Rattus norvegicus: one gene and its partners. The protein of the gene in region 1 interacts with the protein of each later gene in a pairwise test. Links are inferred from orthologs where the notes say so. Each region holds a gene or a part of one and is shown in the gene's direction. Other genes may lie near its edges.

Region 1 (3,500 bases):
TCCCACCACTGCCTGGGAATGTCTGGTTTTGGTGTGTGAGGTTTTGGAGTTTTGTCTTTCTTACAGGATGTACTGAATTACTTTCAAAGACAGTCCTCTCTCCACAAGACTTGTTTGTTTGTTTGTTTGGTGGGGTTTTTTGGTTTGTTTTGGTTTTGAATTACAGTCTACATGTTGGAATATGGAGCCAGTAGAAGATATTGATGGTTTGTAGAGTTCCTAAAAAAGTGTGAGTTGATAATTGAAGGAAGAAATAAGTCCTCGACTGACTTTTCTTTCTTTCTTCGTTTAGTTGCTCTTCAAAAAATGGACTCAATGCTTTCATCAGAAGCTGCCTGGGTATCCCAGTATAAAGACATCACCGATGTGGATGAAATGAAGGTCCCAGACTGTGCGGAAGTCTTTATGACCCTGCTTCTGGTTATAACTGGTAAGCACTGGCCTTTTAACATCCGACGCTAATTTAGAATTAAGTTTTTAAGCTGGGCAAGGGTGAACACACTTGCAACCTAGCATGTGAGGTGGAAGCAGGAGGATTGAGCTCAAGGCCAGTCTCAGTTCTAAAGTGACTTTGGTCAGCCTGGGATATATGAGACCCTGTCTCAGAAAACCCAAGCAAACGAATGAACAGCAGAAGTCTGCAGTGAGTTTGAGGCTGGTGGGGTCGCTCAGCAGATTCGAGCACTTGCTGTTCTTACAGAAGGCCGGGCCAGCTCCCCAGTCATAACCCACCCACTCCAGCTCTGGATCCAGGGGCCGCTTGGTCCCCTCAGGCACCTAGGACGCGTGAACATGAAAATAAACCTTAAACAGTAGTGCGCGCTACATGTACTCATATTTTTAGTAGTTAATAGACAGCCGTACAGTAACTTAAAACTCTACGACAGTCTCTCTTTCGACTGAGCCAGCTGTGGCAGCACTCACCTTTAATCCCAGCGCTCTGGAAGCACGGCTGGAGCATTTGTGGCTTTGAGATCATCCTGGTATATGGGTTCCCAGCCACCCTGATGTAAGATCTTGTTTCAAATACTAAAATAACAATAAGTATTAATAAATAGTACTAGTCATAATAATCAGGTCACCTAGACATACTGTGAGACCCTGTCTCCAAACAACAGCACCTTAAAATGTGAGCGTTGGTGTATACATGAAGGGGAACGTCCAGGACAAAAACAAATAAAAATGCGTTAATTTTTAACTCATTGTCATTCTTTTTTTTTTTCTTTTCTTTTTTTCGGAGCTGGGGACCGAACCCAGGACCTTGCGTGTCATTCTTGTTATAGGTTTTCAAGTTTCATTTTACTACTCTAATTTTACAGACTTATTTTTAGTTTATGTGTATGAGTGTGTGTCTGTGAATGTGTGTACACCACATGCATGCCTATTGCCAATGGAGGCCAGAAGAAGGTGTTGGAGCCCCTGAAACTGGAGTTACAGAGGGTCGTGAGCTGAGCCCCCTCCTCCCCAGCTCCTTTTACTTTAAGACTCTCAGCTTTATGTGTATTTTGCCTGCATTTTATCTGTACCACATACATTCCTAGTGCCTGTGTAGTTCAGAAGAGTGTTTGATCCCCTAGAGATGGGAATTACAGTACTGTAAGCTATCAATGTGGGTGCTGGGAACTGAACCAGCGATCTCTCCAATGGCAGGCAGTGCTCTTAACCTCTGAGCCATCTCTCAAGCGCCCACTTACTCTTCTTTGAGAGACGGTGTACTGTGTTGCCCAGCTGGCTTGAGCTCCTGTTCTGAGATGATCTTCCTGCCTTGGTTTTCCACATAGCTGGGACTAGGTACACACTACTATGTCTAGTGTTAACCCAAACCTTAAATAAATATCACTTTCTTAGCACTGGTTTATCAGGACTTGAAGAAGAGAGTGGAATGGTACAGTAGTTTTAGAATTGAGGTGACAGGGTCTCTTCTCGAGCCATGTGTGGAGTGTCCGCATTCCCTGCTGCAGACTGCTAGCTGTCCAGGGCCACAAGATCCCCAATGCTGCCACGCTGGGCCCTCATTGCTTCCCTCCTCCCCTGGCAATGCACTTCTTGAGCTTCATGATAACCTGAAGACCTTCACTCCTACCCAATCAGTAATTGCACATTTTGACTGTTAGAAAAATAAACACTTTTTTTAAAAAAGGATAGCCAGACATGGCAGTGCACATATTTAATCCCAAATATCAGGATTTTGGAGGTAAAGGCTGGAGGATCAGGAGTTCAGAGCTATTCATAGCCTCAGGAAATTTGAAGCCAGCCTGGGCTACATGAGACCTGTCTTAAGCCCTCCTCACCTACCAACACAGCTTCTTATTTAAGGCACAGTTATTTTAAAACACAGTTTGCTTTTTCAGAAACGAGGTATGATTTCTGTATGGCAATGTACACATCTGGATCTCGAGCATACTGTTGGCTGAGTCCTGACACGATGTTCCTGTGTGATTTCTTAAGATTTTGCAAACGGTCAGCTGGGTTTTGTCATAAAGGCCATAAGCAGAGATTTAGGGAAAACCAACTGTGATGAACAGTATCTAATCCCCTCCTGTATTTTGTCTACTTTCTCCACAGACAGGTATAAAAATCTCCCCACAGCCTCCCGGAAGCTGCAGTTCCTGGAGTTACAGAAGGACCTAGTGGATGATTTTAGGATCCGGTTGACACAGGTGATGAAGGAGGAGACTAGAGCGCCCCTGGGCTTTCGGTACTGTGCGATTCTCAACGCCGTGAACTATATCTCAACAGTGCTGGCTGACTGGGCTGACAACGTGGTGAGTTGTGTGCTTTTGTAGGAAATGATGTATCAGTGCCTTGGTCTCCATAATATATCAGTGCCTTGATCTCCATAATACATCAGTGCCTTGGTCTCCATAATACGTCAGTGCCTTGATCTCCATAATATATCAATGCCTTGATCTCCATAATATATCAGTGCCTTGATCTCCATAATACATCAGTGCCTTGATCTCCATAATATAGCAGTGCCTTGGTCTCCATAATACGTCAGTGCCTTGGTCTTCATAATATGTCAGTGCCTTGGTCTCCATAATATAGCAGTGCCTTGGTCTCCATAATATAGCAGTGCCTTGGTCTCCCTAATACATCAGTGCCTTGGTCTCCATAATATAGCAGTGCCTTGGTCTCCCTAATACGTCAGTGCCTTGGTCTCCATAATATAGCAGTGCCTTGGTCTCCATAATACGTCAGTGCCTTGGTCTTCATAATATGTCAGTGCCTTGGTCTCCATAATACATCAGTGCCTTGGTCTCCCTAATACATCAGTGCCTTGGTCTCCATAATATAGCAGTGCCTTGGTCTCCATAATACGTCAGTGCCTTGATCTCCATAATATATCAGTGCCTTGGTCTCCATAATATATCAGTGCCTTGATCTCCATAATACATCAGTGCCTTGGTCTCCCTAATACATCAGTGCCTTGGTCTCCCTAATACATCAGTGCCTTGGTCTTCATAATATATCAGTGCCTTGATCTCCATAATATGTCA
Region 2 (4,153 bases), on another chromosome or scaffold:
CTTACCGGTGCTGCAGGGCCACTGTGCTTGTGAACCACAGCAGCTGTGGTTGTCTGCACAAGATCAAGCCAGTTAACATTGCAGCACAGAGACGGGAGAGGCTTATGAGCCCCTACCCTGAACTGAGGAGCTAGGAACAGCTGAATGTTTCTGGAGAAAAGAAAGTCCGTGTTTTTACAAGGTTGCAGCCCTTGACCGTTTGATCATGGTTCAGTGGATGGCCCTACTGCCACGAATAGATGGGCAGATTAGACTCGGTGGCGTATAAAAAAACAAAAAAGGAGGAAGTGAGGGTGGATGTAGGAGTTAAGGGGAGGAGGGTAAAGTAAATATGATTAAAATACATTGTGTGTGTGTATGAAATTCTCAAAGATGAATAAAAGTATAATTTAAATGTAAAAATTAGTTGGTGTTATTGTAAATGGGATAGGTTTATTACATGAAGAGCATGGTTATATATTATCTATTTGTGTTGTACGGAGTGATTTGAACTGTGTTTAAAACATGACACTTCCTTAACATTCTTCCATTGTTCTTAAATGTTATTTAACCGCATCGTTGTAAGTTACTGTATAATATTTCCAACTGGAAAGTTCAGACAATTGAAGGTAGGTACCTCGGAGCTAGGTCATGAGTACTGAGAAGAATTATGTAGAAAACTCAATTCAGCTTCTTCCCAGGACGGACTTCTATACTATAACTGATCTGGTTTTGATAAGCACCGTGGGAACTACTGATGTGTGCATTTAAAAACTGATTTATCATTGCAGTTAGGGGAACAGACAGGGAAAGAGGATTGTGGGAAAACACACAAAGAGGTAGCTGCTGAGTTGGGAGTAGGGTCCAGCTTGGTGGCTGGGCATTTAATACCAACTCATGGGTAGATGTACTGAGGCAGGCAGATATAGCAAATTTGAGACAAAAGCATGAATTTAAGGTCAGCCTGGGCAACTTAGTGAGACCCTGTCTCAAAAAGAAAAAAAAGTGAAGAGAGGGTCAGGTGTGGTATAGACCTAAAATCCTAGTATCACGGAGGCTGCGGCCAGTTATGTGTCAAGGCCCTGCCTCAAAACTCAAAAATGTTGGTACTAGGGTCTGTGCAAAACCAAACAAATTTGGGACTAGCAACCCTTGCTTGCAGCTGGAGACCGAGGAAATCCAGCTGGAAGAGGAGAAGAAAGATCTGCCAAGGCCTGGGCAGCCGGAAGGCCGAGCGACCAGCTGGGCTCAGGGCAGCAGCCGCTGGGTTGCATCTGCCGCTCCTGATGTTGCCTGGCAACCCGGCTGGCGCGCCGTTCGAACGGAAGCGACCGGCCAATCAGGAAGTCCGGGGCGAACCATTGCAGCGACGGGGACGGCGGGCTCACTTCCCTTTCCTCTGGGCCCTGGGGACGGTCTCCCGGCGGGATTGTGGGACGGCCGGGACCTCTCGCTCGGAAGAGCCGACCGGTCTCCACACGCTGTGACCTCCTCAGGTCCGCGGGGACCATCAGCTGTCAGCCTCTGCAGCCAGCGAGGAGCGGGATTCCTCCGGGCGTGGGCTGCGGGTGAGCATGGGGTAAGGGGGCGGGGGTCCTTAGGCAGTGTCCACGCATCAACCCGGGCAAGTGTTTCAGCATAGGGGGTCGACAGAGGAGAGCTCATGTCTAGTGTCCAGCCCAGGGGGGCCAGCAGAGAATCCAGGTTGTTCCACTGTCCCATCTTGCAGCCCCCGCTCCTAGCAAATCAGAGTACCCCACCGGCTTACTCTTTCAGGGGCCTATTGGGAGGACATGGCTCAGGGGATCTCCTGACTAGGCAACCCTGCCCTACCGGCCCTTGGAGTTCCCCTTCAGAATATAGTCTTTCCCTCCCCATTGGAAGCTTTCTGCCTAAAGAGTCTGGAGTTCCAGGGCTTCCCGCTTTGAGGGCCCTCCTTGGGGGGAAGGGGCGGGGCAGGGTGGATTCCCTAGGACTACAGATCCAAAGGCTCTGGAAGTCATGTGGGTCTGTGCGCGCCCGCCCGCCTGCGCTTGTATGCATTGGAGGTGCCTCTAAGCCAGAGTTGCTGGAATTGGACTTTAGAGTTGGGTGCAGGGTCAGGCCCTCCCAAGTGGAGCATCTAATTTAGGCTGTACTTTTATCTACTCTCCTGCTGTTGATCTTCTTTCGTAGGTGGGGAATCTGAGGTTCTGAGAAGTTGAGGCTCTTGCTCAAAGTCACAGACTTAACTATGCAATCGTCTTCAGTTCTTGATACAGGGAATCGCCCATTCGATGAAGGATCTCTCCTGAGGGGAACTACCCTTTCTCTGAGCCTCATTCTGGCCCTGGAGGAGCTGTGTTTGTCCATCTGTGTTTGTCCATCTGTGTTTGTGTCATGCTCCCCACCCTAACTTTTGTATGGCCCTAGCTGGCCTCATTCTTACTATTTATACCAGGCTGGTCTTGAACTCTCCATCTTCCTAAATCAGCGTCCTCTGATGACAAGCGTGTGCCACCTGCACACCAGTTTTATGCCTTTTCAGGATAGAACCCAGGGCTTGGTTTCTGCTAAGCGAGCGTCTACTAGATGAGTTATACCGCTGCCTCATTTCTTTCCACATCGTCAAGCTTCCTGTAGCCTGGTCCCTCCCTGAGTGTCCTGCTTTTCTCAGTAGCGTCTGTTCCATATTATGCACGAGGTATCTTATTAGGCGGTTTATTATCTTCCCCAGTGGAATGTGTCAGGCACGTGAGATGCTTAACACGGGCACAAATTATCAGGGTGCCCCAAACTTGCAGACTCAAGATGATCAAAGCCAACATCTGTTGGCCATTTGGTGTGTATTGTACTGGGGGGGGGGGTGGAGCAGGATAGGGTGGTGTCACTCAGGTGGACTCTGGCCAGCAGAGCCAGCATAGGCACTGTTAATACACACACACACACACACACACACACACACACACACACACACACACACACACTCACTCCCCCATCCAGCTACCTCACTCTATGCAAAATGACAGGTGCTGTGGACAGACACAGAGTGGCCATCAGTAGGGACTGATGGGAAATAATCAGAAACTCCTTAGATACTCATGCGGCACCAAGAGGAACGTGGATTACTGAGCAAAGGGTCTGGGTGGGAATTATATACACAGCACGATGGGCATCGCAGTCAATCCTAATCGTGGACTGTGGGTCAACTAATTGAGAAGCCACAGACAGTGATTACATTTGCAGAAAGTTATGAGGTCACTGCCCTACCTGTGGTTTGTCATTGGCTTTGTGAGTTTGGGCAAGTTTCTTCACATTCTGAGCTGTGAGTTCAAGCCAAGGCAGAAGGCACTGTAGGACAGGAAGTGGGTGTGGCCACAGGCCTAATTCAAGCCTCACCTTCCCTTCAGTGTCAGGCCCTTCCCTAAGGCCTTGTTTGTTAGTCTTTCTCCCTCTCTCCCTCTCTCCTTCACTGCAAGTCTGCCTTTGTTCCCATCTTGTCAGGGTGCAAACTGAGCCCCAGACTTTGTTAGTGGAGAGTGTTTGGGGGAAGGATTCATGCAGGAGCTCACTGTCCTAGGCATCCCTGCCCCTCCCATGGCGGCCCACTTGTAACTCTCTTCCTGAGATTTGTGCAAAGCTACTCTGAGCAAGGCTGACTCCTGGGCAGGCCAGGGCATGAGCCTGGTGAAAACTCCAGAAATAGCTTGGAACCTGGCCTGCCCTGGAGAATGCCCGGTCGGGTGTCTGACCTGGACAGCTGTGTTGGCTCTTCCCCACTGTCCGGAACCTTCTTGATCCTCTTCTGCAGCAGCCAGAGGCCTCCCTGGCTACCAAACCTGAGCCAGGACAGAAAAGCAGGTGGGGCGGATAAACTATCATAAAATGATCAACCCTAGAAATCTACTGGGAAGAGGGGACACACAACTGCCTGGGCTTGGAACCCTTGTCCCGGGCTGAGAACTTTACCAGTGTGAGCTCTGATTTCCCTCCACTCTGCGAAATGAGGGATTTCTGCTTTTATTTCATGGATACATATGCTACAGCAGGCACTCGAGAAGACACTTAGAGGAGTCAGTTCTCCCATTCCACTGTGGGGCCAGGGGACTGAACTCGGATCACTAGGCTTGCATGGCAAGTACTTTTACCCCAAGTCATCTCCCTCGCCCTAACTTTACCAGTCATTTCCCACTCT
Region 3 (4,084 bases), on another chromosome or scaffold:
CTCAGCATTTCCCAAGCCATATATATATATATTTAAAATTTTCCTTGTTAGTCTGGGTGCTAAAATAGTTTGTGTTAAAATTTAAGGGGCTGGGGATTTAGCTCAGCGGTAGAGCGCTTACCTAGGAAGCGCAAGGCTCTGGGTTCGGTCCCCAGCTCCGAAAAAAAGAACCAAAAAAAAAAAAATTTAAGGTTTGCTAATAGAAAAATATCTGATAGCTTGTTGTGTGCCAGACACAGTGCTATATACTGGGAATGTCTAAAGATCTTGACCTTATAGCATTTGTAATTCTATCAGAGAATAACAATATGTGATTATAGGCTTTAAAAGACTTTCAAAACTAATTTTTGTTCTATGTATAGGTGTATATGTATCCATGCAGTCCCCTCTGAGGCCAGAAGAGGGCATCAGATGCCTTGGAGCTAGAGTTAGAGGCAGTCTGAGCCAGCTGATGTGAGTACTGGCATTCTAATTCTGGTGATCTTTCATTTATTTATTTTAAGGTATGAGTACACTGTCACTCTCTTCAAAGACACCAGAAGAGGGCATCAGATCCCATTACAGATGGTTGTGACACACCATGTGGTTGCTGGGAATTGAACTCAGGACCTCTGGAAGAGCAGTCAATGTTCTTAACCACTGAGCCATCTCTCCAGCCCGCAGCAAGTATTCTTAACCACCAAACCATATTGACTTTTTAGGTGTTATGTATGATACATTAGGATAGATAGTTGGAGTGGAAGTAGTCCCTAGGGATTGAGACCAGAACCATGCTAAGCAAGTGTCCTACCACTGCATTAACTGCCCAATCCACAAAGTAGGCATCCAAAGAATACCTTTATAGCTAAATGTTTGCATGTCCATATTTTTTATTTGCTGGGAAGATTCTGTAAATTATGAGTTCTAAACCTAAGACTGCTTATTTGGAATTTAAAAGTATTTTTAGATAAATTTTAAATTCACAGCAAACTTTAGCTTAAAGTACAGAATTCTCATATGCTTCCTGGGGGCCCTCCTTCCCTATCCCCAATAATCTGAAGTGGTTTTGTTGTTTTCTTCTGGTGCTAAGGATCCGATCCCATCACTTCCCACATGTTAGGCGAGGCTTCACACATGCTTTTCTGGTCCTTTGATTTATATGAAAGTTTTCGAGGGACATAAAAAACAAACAAGAACTCTGACCTAATAAATTGAGTACATCAAGGCACAAGTATCGAAGAACTACGTTTCCCAGGGTGCAATGCAGCACGTCACAGAGAAGTACCCGGCATGCGCAGAGGAGTCCTCCGCGCTCGACCGCGCTCATAAGAGAAACAGCGTGTGTGGTTCTTGACGTGCCGCGAACCTTCGAACGTAAGTGCGGGACTATCGTGTGAGGAAACGTTCCAGTGATTCGCTCTTCCCGCCATCGCAGTTACCAGCGCGACGTGCTGTTTTTCCCTGGGCTCGGTAGGTGGGACGGGGCCATGGCAAGGTACCTCCACGCAGCGCGGGAACGAAAGGCCAGCGTTCCTGCCCGGCGCCCGGCTCTCTGAGGCGGCTTCTGCGGAAACGCGCACGCGCCCTGGACGGGGAAGGGGGCGGGCTGTGGGAGCCGGCGCCCTGGGGTTTGCGCGTGCGCCCTACATCTCTGGAGAGGTGGGAAGCCGCTGGAGCTGACTAGTCTAGAGGCCGGCACCTGGTGAGGTCCTTGGTCCCAGACATCAGCACAGTTTACTACTTTCTTATTGAGAGGGACACTGTAGCCCAGCCTGGCCGTGAGATCGCAGTCCTCCCTCAATCCCAAGTGCTGAGATTACAGACTCCACAGCCCTAAAGGTGTCCATTTTCACAACAGTAACTTCATCCACTCTGTAGCTCACTCATCTGTCGGCTGACACATGTATCCTAGGACGTCTGCGTCTACTCATTAGCACATTCACCTGCCTCTCTAGGGAGGCCTTGTCTCATGCTGTCTCACAGAAACAGCTCTGTCAAAGCCGCCTTGAGTTCTGGATTCCCAAGTTCAGTGATAATGGCTTGGTAGCATCCTCTTTCATTGCCTCGGTCCTCTCTTAACCTAAAGAACTCTTGCTTCCATTTCTTCATCTTTAATGCTCGTACCTTCAGAATACATAAACCCTAATCTTGCCTTTTTTCTGTTCACTCCCTGGGCATTGTCTATTTCACACTTTAAATAAATAAAATTTATTTTGGTGCACTCAACTTTCTTTTTTTTTTTTTTTTTTTTTTTTACATATTTTTAATAATTTTATATAGGTTCACTGGTGCTGTCTTCAGACACACCAGAAGAGGGCATCAGATCCCATTGCAGATGGTTGTGAGCCACTCTGTGGTTGCTGGGAATTGAACTCAGGACCTCTGGAAGAGCAGTCAGTGCTCTTAACCACTGAGCCATCTCTCCAGCCCTTGTTTTTTTTTTTTTTTTTTTTTTTAGAGACAAAGTTTCTCTGTCTAGCCCTGGTTGTCCTGGAACTCACTCTGTAGACCAAGCTGGCCTTGAAGTCAGAGATCCAGCTGCCTCCGCCTCCCAAGTACTGGTATTAGTGTGCAACCACTGCCAGCTTCCCCGGGTGATTTAGATGTCAAGTTAAAACTAGCCGTCATGTGCTTCAGTGCTTTTTCATCCCGAGAGTAAATACATGGGATGTGTGCATTGCATGCTGAAGGGGGTGCACTGGGAGCAATGCACTGGGAGGTGTTTATCCTAAGACAGGACACGGTGCTCTTACACAGCTTAGATTATCAGCCTACTACACACCAAGTCCACATGGCATAGCCTGCCACTCCATATGTAGCATGTTACTACAGCAAATACTATAAAGGTGGTTTCCACAAAATGAAAAGTATTTGAGTATCTATACAGAAACAGTTCAGTAAAATACTAGGTGAGGGCCAGTGAAGAGGCTCAGAGGGTAAAGGAAGTTGTCACTAAGCATGACAACCTAAGCATGACCCATGTGGTAAGAAGAAAACCAGTAAACACTGTGGCATATGTACACCCATACTCAATAAATAAATGTTTAATAAGAAATAATGGGGTGATGAAAGTGTTTTGGGTTTATAATCTCATACATCTTTTTGAGCATTATAATCTCATGGGACTACATCATGTTCAATCTTTTTTTTTTTTCTGATGTATTCTTTGGCATGTGGCTCTATTTGTTTAATATGTGTCCATTCTGCATTGTCCTTTCACTACTGCATATCCCTTATGTCTTAGGTAATTAGTAAATGCTGCTGAATGGAATTATGAAAGGGCATAATTTCTCTTTTCTGCATGGGGGAAGTAGGTAGTCTCTCACGGAAGATGTTAGTACTTAACATGGAGACAGAGGAGACCTTGAGTAGCTCAGCTTCAAACCCGTTTCAGTGTTCTAAGTTGAAAGACTGCTTGAAGGGTGTTCAGGACTCAGCTCCATTCAGCAACCTGATTTGACAGCAGTATGTGCCAAGGCCCGGCAGAACAGAAAGATATCTAGAGTAGCAGCCTGTATGCTCCATGCTTGTCATCTGGTAGGAGAGCTGTCAGTGAAGCAGTTCATCATTTACATGAGTGACAGGTGCAAGAACAGAAGTTTACTGTGAAGACTGAGGCTGGAGAAATGTGAGTTCAGTGTCAGCCTGAACTGCACAGTGAGACCCTGCCCCTAAAGCAATAAAAGAAGCTTGGTATGGTGGCACGCACCTTTTAATCCCAGCACGGGGGAAGCAGAGGCAGATGAATCTCTGGGAGTTCCAGGTGTAAATTCCAGGGCAGTTTGAGTTGCATACTAAGACTGTGTCTCAAAACAACAATAAAAACATAACAAAACAAGAATAAAGTTTAAATGCAGTGCTTAGGCACTTTCCTGAAGTTGTGATTGGCCATAGACGAGGGCAAATGGAGGAGCCTGTGGCTGTTTGGGAGCTGTGTTGTCCTCCCCCAGCTTCATATGTAAATATCATGTTCTTGGGTTGCAATGTTGATAAGCTCAACTTGTTGAATTTTTTTTTTAATTTTTAAATTTTTATTTTTTGAGACAGGTTTCTCTCTATGTATAGCCCTGCCTGTCCTGGAACTTGTTCTGTAAACTAGGCTGTA
Region 4 (3,655 bases), on another chromosome or scaffold:
CACTGCACATACACTATACACATACATATTGCACATACATACACTGCATACATACTGTATACACACTGAACACACATACTGCACACACATTGCACACATACTGCATACATACATACTACACATACAGCACACATACTGCACACTTATACTGCACACACACTCATACTGCACACACACACTACACACCACACACACACACACACACACACACACACACAGCCACAACACAATGAAGAGTTAGGCATGAGATAAGGAAGGGTGAAAACAATCTCAGAAGTTCTAGGTGTACTCAGCAGTATACCCCAGCTGACCCACAAAATGGGTGTCTGCCCATTTGTTGCATGAGAAGACAGGTAAACTTTCTAGTAAGTCTGTAGGACCTTGGACAAGTTGCTTTACATATCATGACAATAATGTCTAACTTAAAGTCTTGTAAAAAAAATTAAAAGCCTTTCAAGTAATAAAAATGGGGCAGGACTTCCTCAGTAACTATTTTGAGAGAAATAGAGTAGATTGAAACTTACCTACCCTAACCCAAGAAGCTTTGATTCTTATTCTTTCTTTACCCTAGGATGTGGTCTTTGGGGATTAGTATCTGTGTTTTGTGGGGTTTCTTTCATAGCTAAAGTGGGGGAAATAATGCATGTACTCTCCACCTAACATTTTTGGAAAGATCAGATGAAGTAATGTATGGTAGCATTGTGAAGCTGACAGGTCAAAATCCCAAGTGTCAAGGGAGATACGCACCTCAGTTAAACAAGTTGCCCAAAGTCACACAACTCTTTATCCTAGACATAAGATGCAGGCATTTCCAGTTACTTATAGGCTCCAGATTTCAAGAACCCAGCAATTTTGCCTTCAACTCACTATCAGGGGTGCCACTCCACGGTCAGTAGTACCCAAAGTGCCCCAAGGATGCACTTGGGGGAGCCTACTAGACCAAGGTGCCGTGAAGGAATTAGAGTTAAGGGCACTCCAGTCTTCAGAAACCTCCTCCCTTTCTTCCTGGCCTTCTGCCTGTCACAGTCTCTTCTGTGCTCCCTACGGCTCATGTACAAAGTCCCACAATGCTGCCTTTCTCAACAACACACAGGGAACTCAAGGATCTGCAAACAACCCTCCCCAGCCCTAGGTCTCGCCATTTATCCTGCAGACCCATACCCCCAGCACTGCAGAGATGAGTCTGGCTATACGTCTGCTAGTGTGCAGAGAACAGAAGGGCACGCTGACCTGTGGACAGGGTATGAGGAGGCAAAGCACAGGTCCCAGGAGAGCAAGACCAGAGGGCTCCCCAGGACAGGGCTCGCCAGCTTGGAACAGGAGCTCTGGGCTCCTAGTGAAAACTCGGAGATCAAGGCCAGCCCTGGACAGCCTCTGAGGCTACTCTAAGTGAGCTCTGCGACTTCCTGGCAGGCTGGGTGTAGCTTGGTCGCCTTGACCACCAGAGGGAGAAACCTTGGGAACATTGGCTCAGGACGCTGTACCCTGAAGTAACAAACCGCCTTGCTCCCTGGCAGTCACTTTCCTTGACCTGGGGATTCTGGGAACATGCTTGCCCAGAGCCCTAAAGGTGCACCCCCACCAACACCATACCTTACTATTCTAAATACGTATCTCAAGCCAAAATTGCTAACGAGGTTGGAGAAACGGGTAAAGAGGAAGACAGTGGTGGAGCTGAAGGAGCTGAGCCAGCAAATCCAAGAAACTAAATGCCGGCGGGAAAGGCTGCTGACGGACAGCAGGCAGCTACTAGAAGAAAAATACCGCGTGCAGGCCGAAAACCAGCTTTTCACGGAATACTTGCGTAAAAATAAGGAACAGTGTGAAAAGAAACAGGAGGAGCTGTGGAAGCAGTACATCCAAGAATGTGGCGAGATAGAACGAGAGAGGCAAGAATTGGCGTCCAGATACAACCAGAGAAATGCAGCTCTTCAAGCCCAGCTCCTGCAGGGCAGAAAGACCCAGAAGGATTTGAAGCAGCAGTTGCAGGCCCTGAAGCCAATTTACAAAGTAAAGGAGGGCCAGGACATGAAAATACAGAGCTTGGAGCAGGAGCAAGAGAAAGTCCGAGGTGAGACTGCGGCCAAGGACCAGAAGGCACACTTCCGGTTCCTGCAGGAAAAGGCATTGATGGAGAAGGAGCTGGAAGACCTGCACCTGATGGAGCTGGGGCAGATCAACACCACGGGGCTTACGAGGAAGTACAAGGCCTTGGCTCTAGCAGCCAAGCAGGCTCATTCTGAGTTCTGTGGCAGCCTCCACAGGGAGAACCAGCAGCTACGCAAGGAGCTTCAGCAACTGAGCCAGGAGTACCGCAGGGTGGAAGCTGTGAGGAATCAGCTGGAAAAGCACCGGAGGCTGATGAAAGAGCAGCGGTGGTACCTAGAAGCCTTGACCAGAGGGCGGCAGCGGCTGCAGGCAGAACGCGAACGCCATCACCGTCGTCACAACCCGTGCCTCAAGGAACAGAGAACTTCAAAGACCATGCTGAGCACCAAATCAAAAACAAGTTTAAAGTAAGAGCTACTACAACTGAACTGGAGCACAGGGAATAACTACAATCCAGAAAGTATCCTTCGTGGAGACTAGAAACGCTTGCACGAAGGGCGGTTGACGCAGCATGGGCTGTGCTCCTAGCCTGGGACCCAGGTCGTGGCTGTCCGTGTCCCTGGGGCTGCGTACACTCAGAGATTTAGAACAGTTGGAAATTTTGTAATGGGTTACACCACCCACTTTTATAGTAGCATTTGAAATCCTCAGATTACCCACTTAGGGCATATATTTTTACCACGCTTATTTTTTTCTTAGTGTGTACTCTGCAGTCCACAAAGTACGGTGTATAACCTGTACATTCTATGTATTTTGGGCCATATGAAGCAAATAGGAATCTTAAATTGTAGGGTTTTTGTTTGTTTAGAAGGGTCGCACGTTTGCATTTATGGTGGACTGTTTTGTTGAACTGTGGGTTCTGGTCTGGAAGAATGGTCTTGTATTTGGGTGATGCCCCTGCATAGGGAAAAGACATAGCCAGCTTCACGTTTCTCAGAAATTATTGGTAATGAAAACTTCGAGGGCACTCTTCAGAATTTTCTGCTTTTTTTATATGTAAAATAGGTTCTTTTTAAATAGGATTAAAAGGTGACTTAGCTTTTCAATGTGCCTTATCACCATCATCATCTTTTAGCATTGCTGGTGAATACATATACTTTACAGTTAAACAGTGTTGTTAAAACAAAATTTACCTGTAATTAGTTCTTAATACCCCTCCAGATTTATAAGTACAACAAAAATACTATATCCCTCAATGTTTTATTATACTACTGCCACCCTTTTGAAGTGATAGAACAAGCATGTGATGAGGTACAGCAGGCCAATAACATAAGCACCATGACTCGGGGTGAGGCCACTACGTCAGTGGCTAACGGGTGGGTAGTGTATAAAACATGGACGCTCTGGGCAAGGATGATTTGTGACCCTTATGTGATGGTACAAGGTCTCACCACACTACTCAGACACATGAAATATGCGAATCGTTTCTTTCCAGAATTTTCCATTTGATTTTGGACTGAAACTGAACACAGATAACTGAAAGGTAGGGAGGGAAGCCTGGGTAAGGGGAGTTGCCACGGTGCCAATCCAGGCCCCCTACTTTGCC
Region 5 (3,997 bases), on another chromosome or scaffold:
CCTCCAAAAGTTTCGTTAGGTTCTGTATTTATAACTGACTGCGTAGGATTCCGACCACTTCTTTCGGATTACTTTAAAGCCACCATTAGCAGATATTCGGAAAGAGATTTGTCCTCTCTCACAAACTTCCCAGTGACTCACAGGTTACTCAGCTGACTTCTCTACACCCAGTGCTCCACCCAAGCTAGTTCACTTTGCTGTTGCATAGCAACAGAACATCCCTAACACCAGAAGGCGTTGCAGCCTCTCAGGGTCTAGCCAGAGGCCTCCCAGGGGCTCCCCAGCGTCTAGCAAGGGGCCTCCTAGGGGCCTCCCAGGAGTCGAGCCAGGGTCTAGCAAGGGGCCTCTTAGGGGCCTCCCAGGAGTCGAGCCAGGGTCTAGCAAGGGGCCTCCCAGGGGCTCCCCAGCGTCTAGCAAGGGGCCTCCTAGGGGCACCCCGGGATCTAGTTCTCAAACTTCTGGATGCTAGACCGACCCGATCGGATCGACAGTCCCGCTTCCTGTCCTGCGCCATAATACACTTCCTTAGGTTACATTTTCTCAGATTGGACCAAAACAAGTGAAGCCAGTGGGCATAGACCAAAATAAAGGGGCGAGACTGCAAAGCAAGCTGGAGATGCTCTCTACTGCACGTGCAGAGACGCCGGGATAGATTCCTATCAAGCTGGCTTCCAAACAGACCACAAAAGGCTAAGGAAGCGTTCGCCAGCAGGGAGCCAAACGGGCCCCGCGGCTTCCGGTCCTGCCACGTCTGAGGAAAAGCCTCTGCTGTTGTGAAAGCGGAGACTGCCAGGGGGCGGGCGCGCGGGGGCGGTGCTCTCAGGCCCATTACCCAGAGGATGCACCCCTCTCCCTTCCCCCAAGGGAAGCTGCTTGGGAAGGCGGCTGGCACAGCAACCCTCGTAGGAAGTGGCGAGCGGAAGCGCGCCCCCCTCAGGCCCGTCCAAAGGCCTGACACTATTTTTTGCCTTGGAAGCCACCCTTAGCCTGGCGGCCTTGCGCGCGTGGCCGAGCCCTGGAGCGCGCCGGCCAGTCCTGCCAATCACGAGCCGCGCCCGCCTCCCCCCTGGTCCCGCCCCGCCCCGTGGCTGAGGCTCGTGGGCCTACGCGCACGCGTAGTCGGAATTGGACAAAGCACATCCGCCCGCTACGGTCAAGCTAGCCAATCGCACGTCTCTCCTCCGGTGGGGCTCCGCCCCCGGGGCGAGGTCAGTGTACTCCGGGCGCTACGCTGGTTGTGTACGCTGTGTCTGCTGTGAGCATGGCTGAGGAAGGTATTGAGCTTTCTCCCTGGGGCTGGTCTGCGCGTCAGGCCTGCGGGTGTCTGCATATCTGATAGAGAAGCTCTTCCCGGCGTCGCGGGGGCTCGACTTCCTGCTCTGTAGGGTAGAGGGCTTTCTATGGTGAGGGAGGTGGAGGAGAGGGGGAGGGAGAGGAGAAGGAGGGGGACTGGGCTTAGAAAAAAGAGCGCGGGAGGGAGCAGCGGGAGAGCGCTTTCTGTGGTGAGGGGGCGGGGGAGGGAGTAGAGAAGGGAGAATGAGGGGGGATGGCTTTCTGTGGTGGGAGGGTGAGGGGAGGGTGCGGGGGAGGGAGTAGAGAAGGGAGAATGAGGGGGGAGGGCTTTCTGTGGTGGGGGGTGAGGGGCGGGGCGGAGGGGGCGGGGCGGAGAAGGCGGGGCTTGGTGGAAAAGATAGGGCGGGGGAGGAAGGCAGAGGCCCTGACCCTAGAAAACCAAAAGGGGCCGACGCTGCTTTCTGGCTCCTTGGGACTCATTCTTCTAGGCACAAAGCTTTTAGGATTCAAGATTCGGACTGTATCGCTTTTATTTACGAAATTATAACAAAGATTAAAATTCTTGACTACGTAGAGTTAGTTCCCTTCCCCGAAATCCAAATTTTTGGAGATGTTTTGAAGGAGAAAAATGAGTGTCAATAAGATACTAGCCGGTTTATTTGTCGTGAAAGAAACAAAATTTGGTTACTCCCCATGTGGAGAAGTAAATGGAAAGAATATGAAAAGAATTAGAATAAATTACAGGTACAAATAATTGGAAGAAATTGCTGACTTTTTTGGTGTTTAGTTCACTGAAGAAAATTTTGTTGAAAAAATTGAGGTCTGTTTTGAGATAATTAATTTATCATTCTCGTGTCTTTCCCTTTCTAGAAGGAAATCAGGAGATCACTTCCAAGATGGAAAACCCCTCAGATTCAGCATCCACTTCACCTGACATTCCTCAGACCAGTGAGAATCCACCATCACCCCCAACCTCACCTGACAAGCCTCAGACCAGTGAAAATCCACCATCACTCCATTCGAATAGTTCAGGAAAACAAGTATGAAAATTTTGTGTTGTCCTTTACCCCCATCTGTCCTGTGTTTCAAAGTATTCCAATAGTGGCAGTTCTAAGGATACTGGAGTGTGAGTTAATATATAGCCCATACCTTGCTAACTGCCAGATTTTCTTCTTGAATCAGTTCATTTCGTTTAATTTCTTACCAGGTTACTGAGATGCTCCAAACCAAGGAAACATATCTGTACCGTATTTCAGGGGGAAGTCTTTGGTAGCAGGTCTTCTCCTTAGTTTATAGTTCTGAGACATTTCTGTTTCTAGTATTGTCAGGCAAATACTAGCTGCCAATGACGGTAACCTTGCTAAAGCAAGACTAAAGGTAGCCTCTGGAACTTAGATACATTGGTGATGCCCACTTGAGGTTTTTGGAGACCAAAAGCAACCCATTGTACCTACCATAGAAGCGTACAGACTTTGTTTCGAATACATTGATGTACTTCAAGAATATATTCTTTTTTTTTTTTTTTTTTTTTTTTTTTTTGGTTCTTTTTTTCGGAGCTGGGGACCGAACCCAGGGCCTTGTGTTTCCTAGGTAAGCGCTCTACCACTGAGCTAAATCCCCAGCCCCAAGAATATATTCTTAACATTTGATGTTTTGTGTCTTTTTCAGCCTATGAGTGGGACACTTAAAGAAAGATTAAAGAAAGCAAGAGCTTCATCTCAACCTTTTTGTAGTGTGGTGAAGCGTATTAAGGTAGAGAATGAAGAAAATGATCAGACCCTTTCAGAACCAGGAGAATCTTCAAAAGAAGAAAACTGTTCAAAAGCCCAAGAAAGCCTGGAAAACAAAGACAATGAACCTGAAAAAGAGAGCTCAGAGGATAAAAATACGAGTGAATCTAAGTCACTTGATACTGGGTCATCCAGTGTCCTCCAAAAAGATTCTACTGAGAAGACTATAAAGCAAACTTTGAAGGAAGAAAAAGCAAAACTGACTAGGCAGGTTCAAGAGAAGGAAGACCTTCTTCGGAGGTTAAAGTTAGTCAAAATGTACAGAATAAAGGTGAGAAGAATTTCAGAACCATTGAACCATTTTTACATAAATTGCTGTAAATTCAGAAATTGGAAATAAATTTTAGTCTGATAAACAAGAAGCCGAAAAACCCAGAAACCTGAGTTAGTTACACCAAGAGCTTTGACTGAATTAGAAATAACTGGTTCAGAATGAGGCAGATAAGCCCCTTCAACACGAGGTAGAACTTAAAAGCTTCAAAGCTTCAGCTCTTGTTTAATGCACAGATGAAGCTTGTGGGCTCTAATTTCTAGCCAGGAGCAAGATTAGAAGTGTGAGGTGTTGGATGGAGGTGCAGTGGGAACAGAAAGGGATGTCGCTAGAACTAAAAACACACCACAGAATGCTGGGTGCTGCACTTTCCGTAACGATCATGTGTCTGATAAAATGTCAGGCATTTTATTTGAGAAAACACAGATTTTAGGTTTCAGCTCACACATGTTGAGTAAAATAGAACATGGATGTTTGGAAGGAGGAGACATCGCTGCTGCTCTTACCCACAGATCACCTCGTTCTATCCCCAAAATGTGGAGTAAATGACAATAGCGTATCTTATATGTGGTTTTGAACTTTTAGGACTTTTCTAAATGTAACTGATGCTAAATGTTGAAAATGCTTTAAGCTTGAATATGTT

Evidence for each region.
Region 2: the proteins of Rint1 (region 1) and Fam110a interact in binary tests that used the Homo sapiens proteins (3 or more experiments, as listed by UniProt). The two-hybrid records come from large-scale screens. The link is inferred for Rattus norvegicus from reciprocal best matches to the Homo sapiens genes RINT1 and FAM110A.
Region 3: the proteins of Rint1 (region 1) and Sgf29 interact in binary tests that used the Homo sapiens proteins (3 or more experiments, as listed by UniProt). The two-hybrid records come from large-scale screens. The link is inferred for Rattus norvegicus from reciprocal best matches to the Homo sapiens genes RINT1 and SGF29.
Region 4: the proteins of Rint1 (region 1) and Ccdc121rt1 interact in binary tests that used the Homo sapiens proteins (3 or more experiments, as listed by UniProt). The two-hybrid records come from large-scale screens. The link is inferred for Rattus norvegicus from reciprocal best matches to the Homo sapiens genes RINT1 and CCDC121.
Region 5: the proteins of Rint1 (region 1) and Sfr1 interact in binary tests that used the Homo sapiens proteins (3 or more experiments, as listed by UniProt). The two-hybrid records come from large-scale screens. The link is inferred for Rattus norvegicus from reciprocal best matches to the Homo sapiens genes RINT1 and SFR1.

What each region holds. Positions count from the first base shown.
Region 1 is NC_086022.1:12,224,118-12,227,617, reverse strand, and holds part of Rint1 (RAD50-interacting protein 1), read left to right. Parts: intron 1-292; coding exon 293-430; intron 431-2,565; coding exon 2,566-2,765; intron 2,766-3,500. UniProt on the Homo sapiens protein: Involved in regulation of membrane traffic between the Golgi and the endoplasmic reticulum (ER); the function is proposed to depend on its association in the NRZ complex which is believed to play a role in SNARE assembly at the ER.
Region 2 is NC_086021.1:160,942,606-160,946,758, reverse strand, and holds the start of Fam110a (protein FAM110A), read left to right. Parts: upstream 1-1,353; 5' UTR 1,354-1,547; exon of another isoform or gene 1,548-3,797; intron 3,798-4,153.
Region 3 is NC_086019.1:190,667,744-190,671,827, forward strand, and holds the start of Sgf29 (SAGA-associated factor 29), read left to right. Parts: upstream 1-1,284; 5' UTR 1,285-1,449; intron 1,450-4,084. UniProt on the Homo sapiens protein: Chromatin reader component of some histone acetyltransferase (HAT) SAGA-type complexes like the TFTC-HAT, ATAC or STAGA complexes.
Region 4 is NC_086031.1:95,784,968-95,788,622, reverse strand, and holds Ccdc121rt1 (coiled-coil domain containing 121, retrotransposed), read left to right. Parts: upstream 1-1,487; 5' UTR 1,488-1,548; coding exon 1,549-2,520; 3' UTR 2,521-3,155; downstream 3,156-3,655.
Region 5 is NC_086019.1:256,559,336-256,563,332, forward strand, and holds the start of Sfr1 (swi5-dependent recombination DNA repair protein 1 homolog), read left to right. Parts: upstream 1-1,197; 5' UTR 1,198-1,261; coding exon 1,262-1,274; intron 1,275-2,163; coding exon 2,164-2,333; intron 2,334-2,961; coding exon 2,962-3,354; intron 3,355-3,997. UniProt on the Homo sapiens protein: Component of the SWI5-SFR1 complex, a complex required for double-strand break repair via homologous recombination. Acts as a transcriptional modulator for ESR1.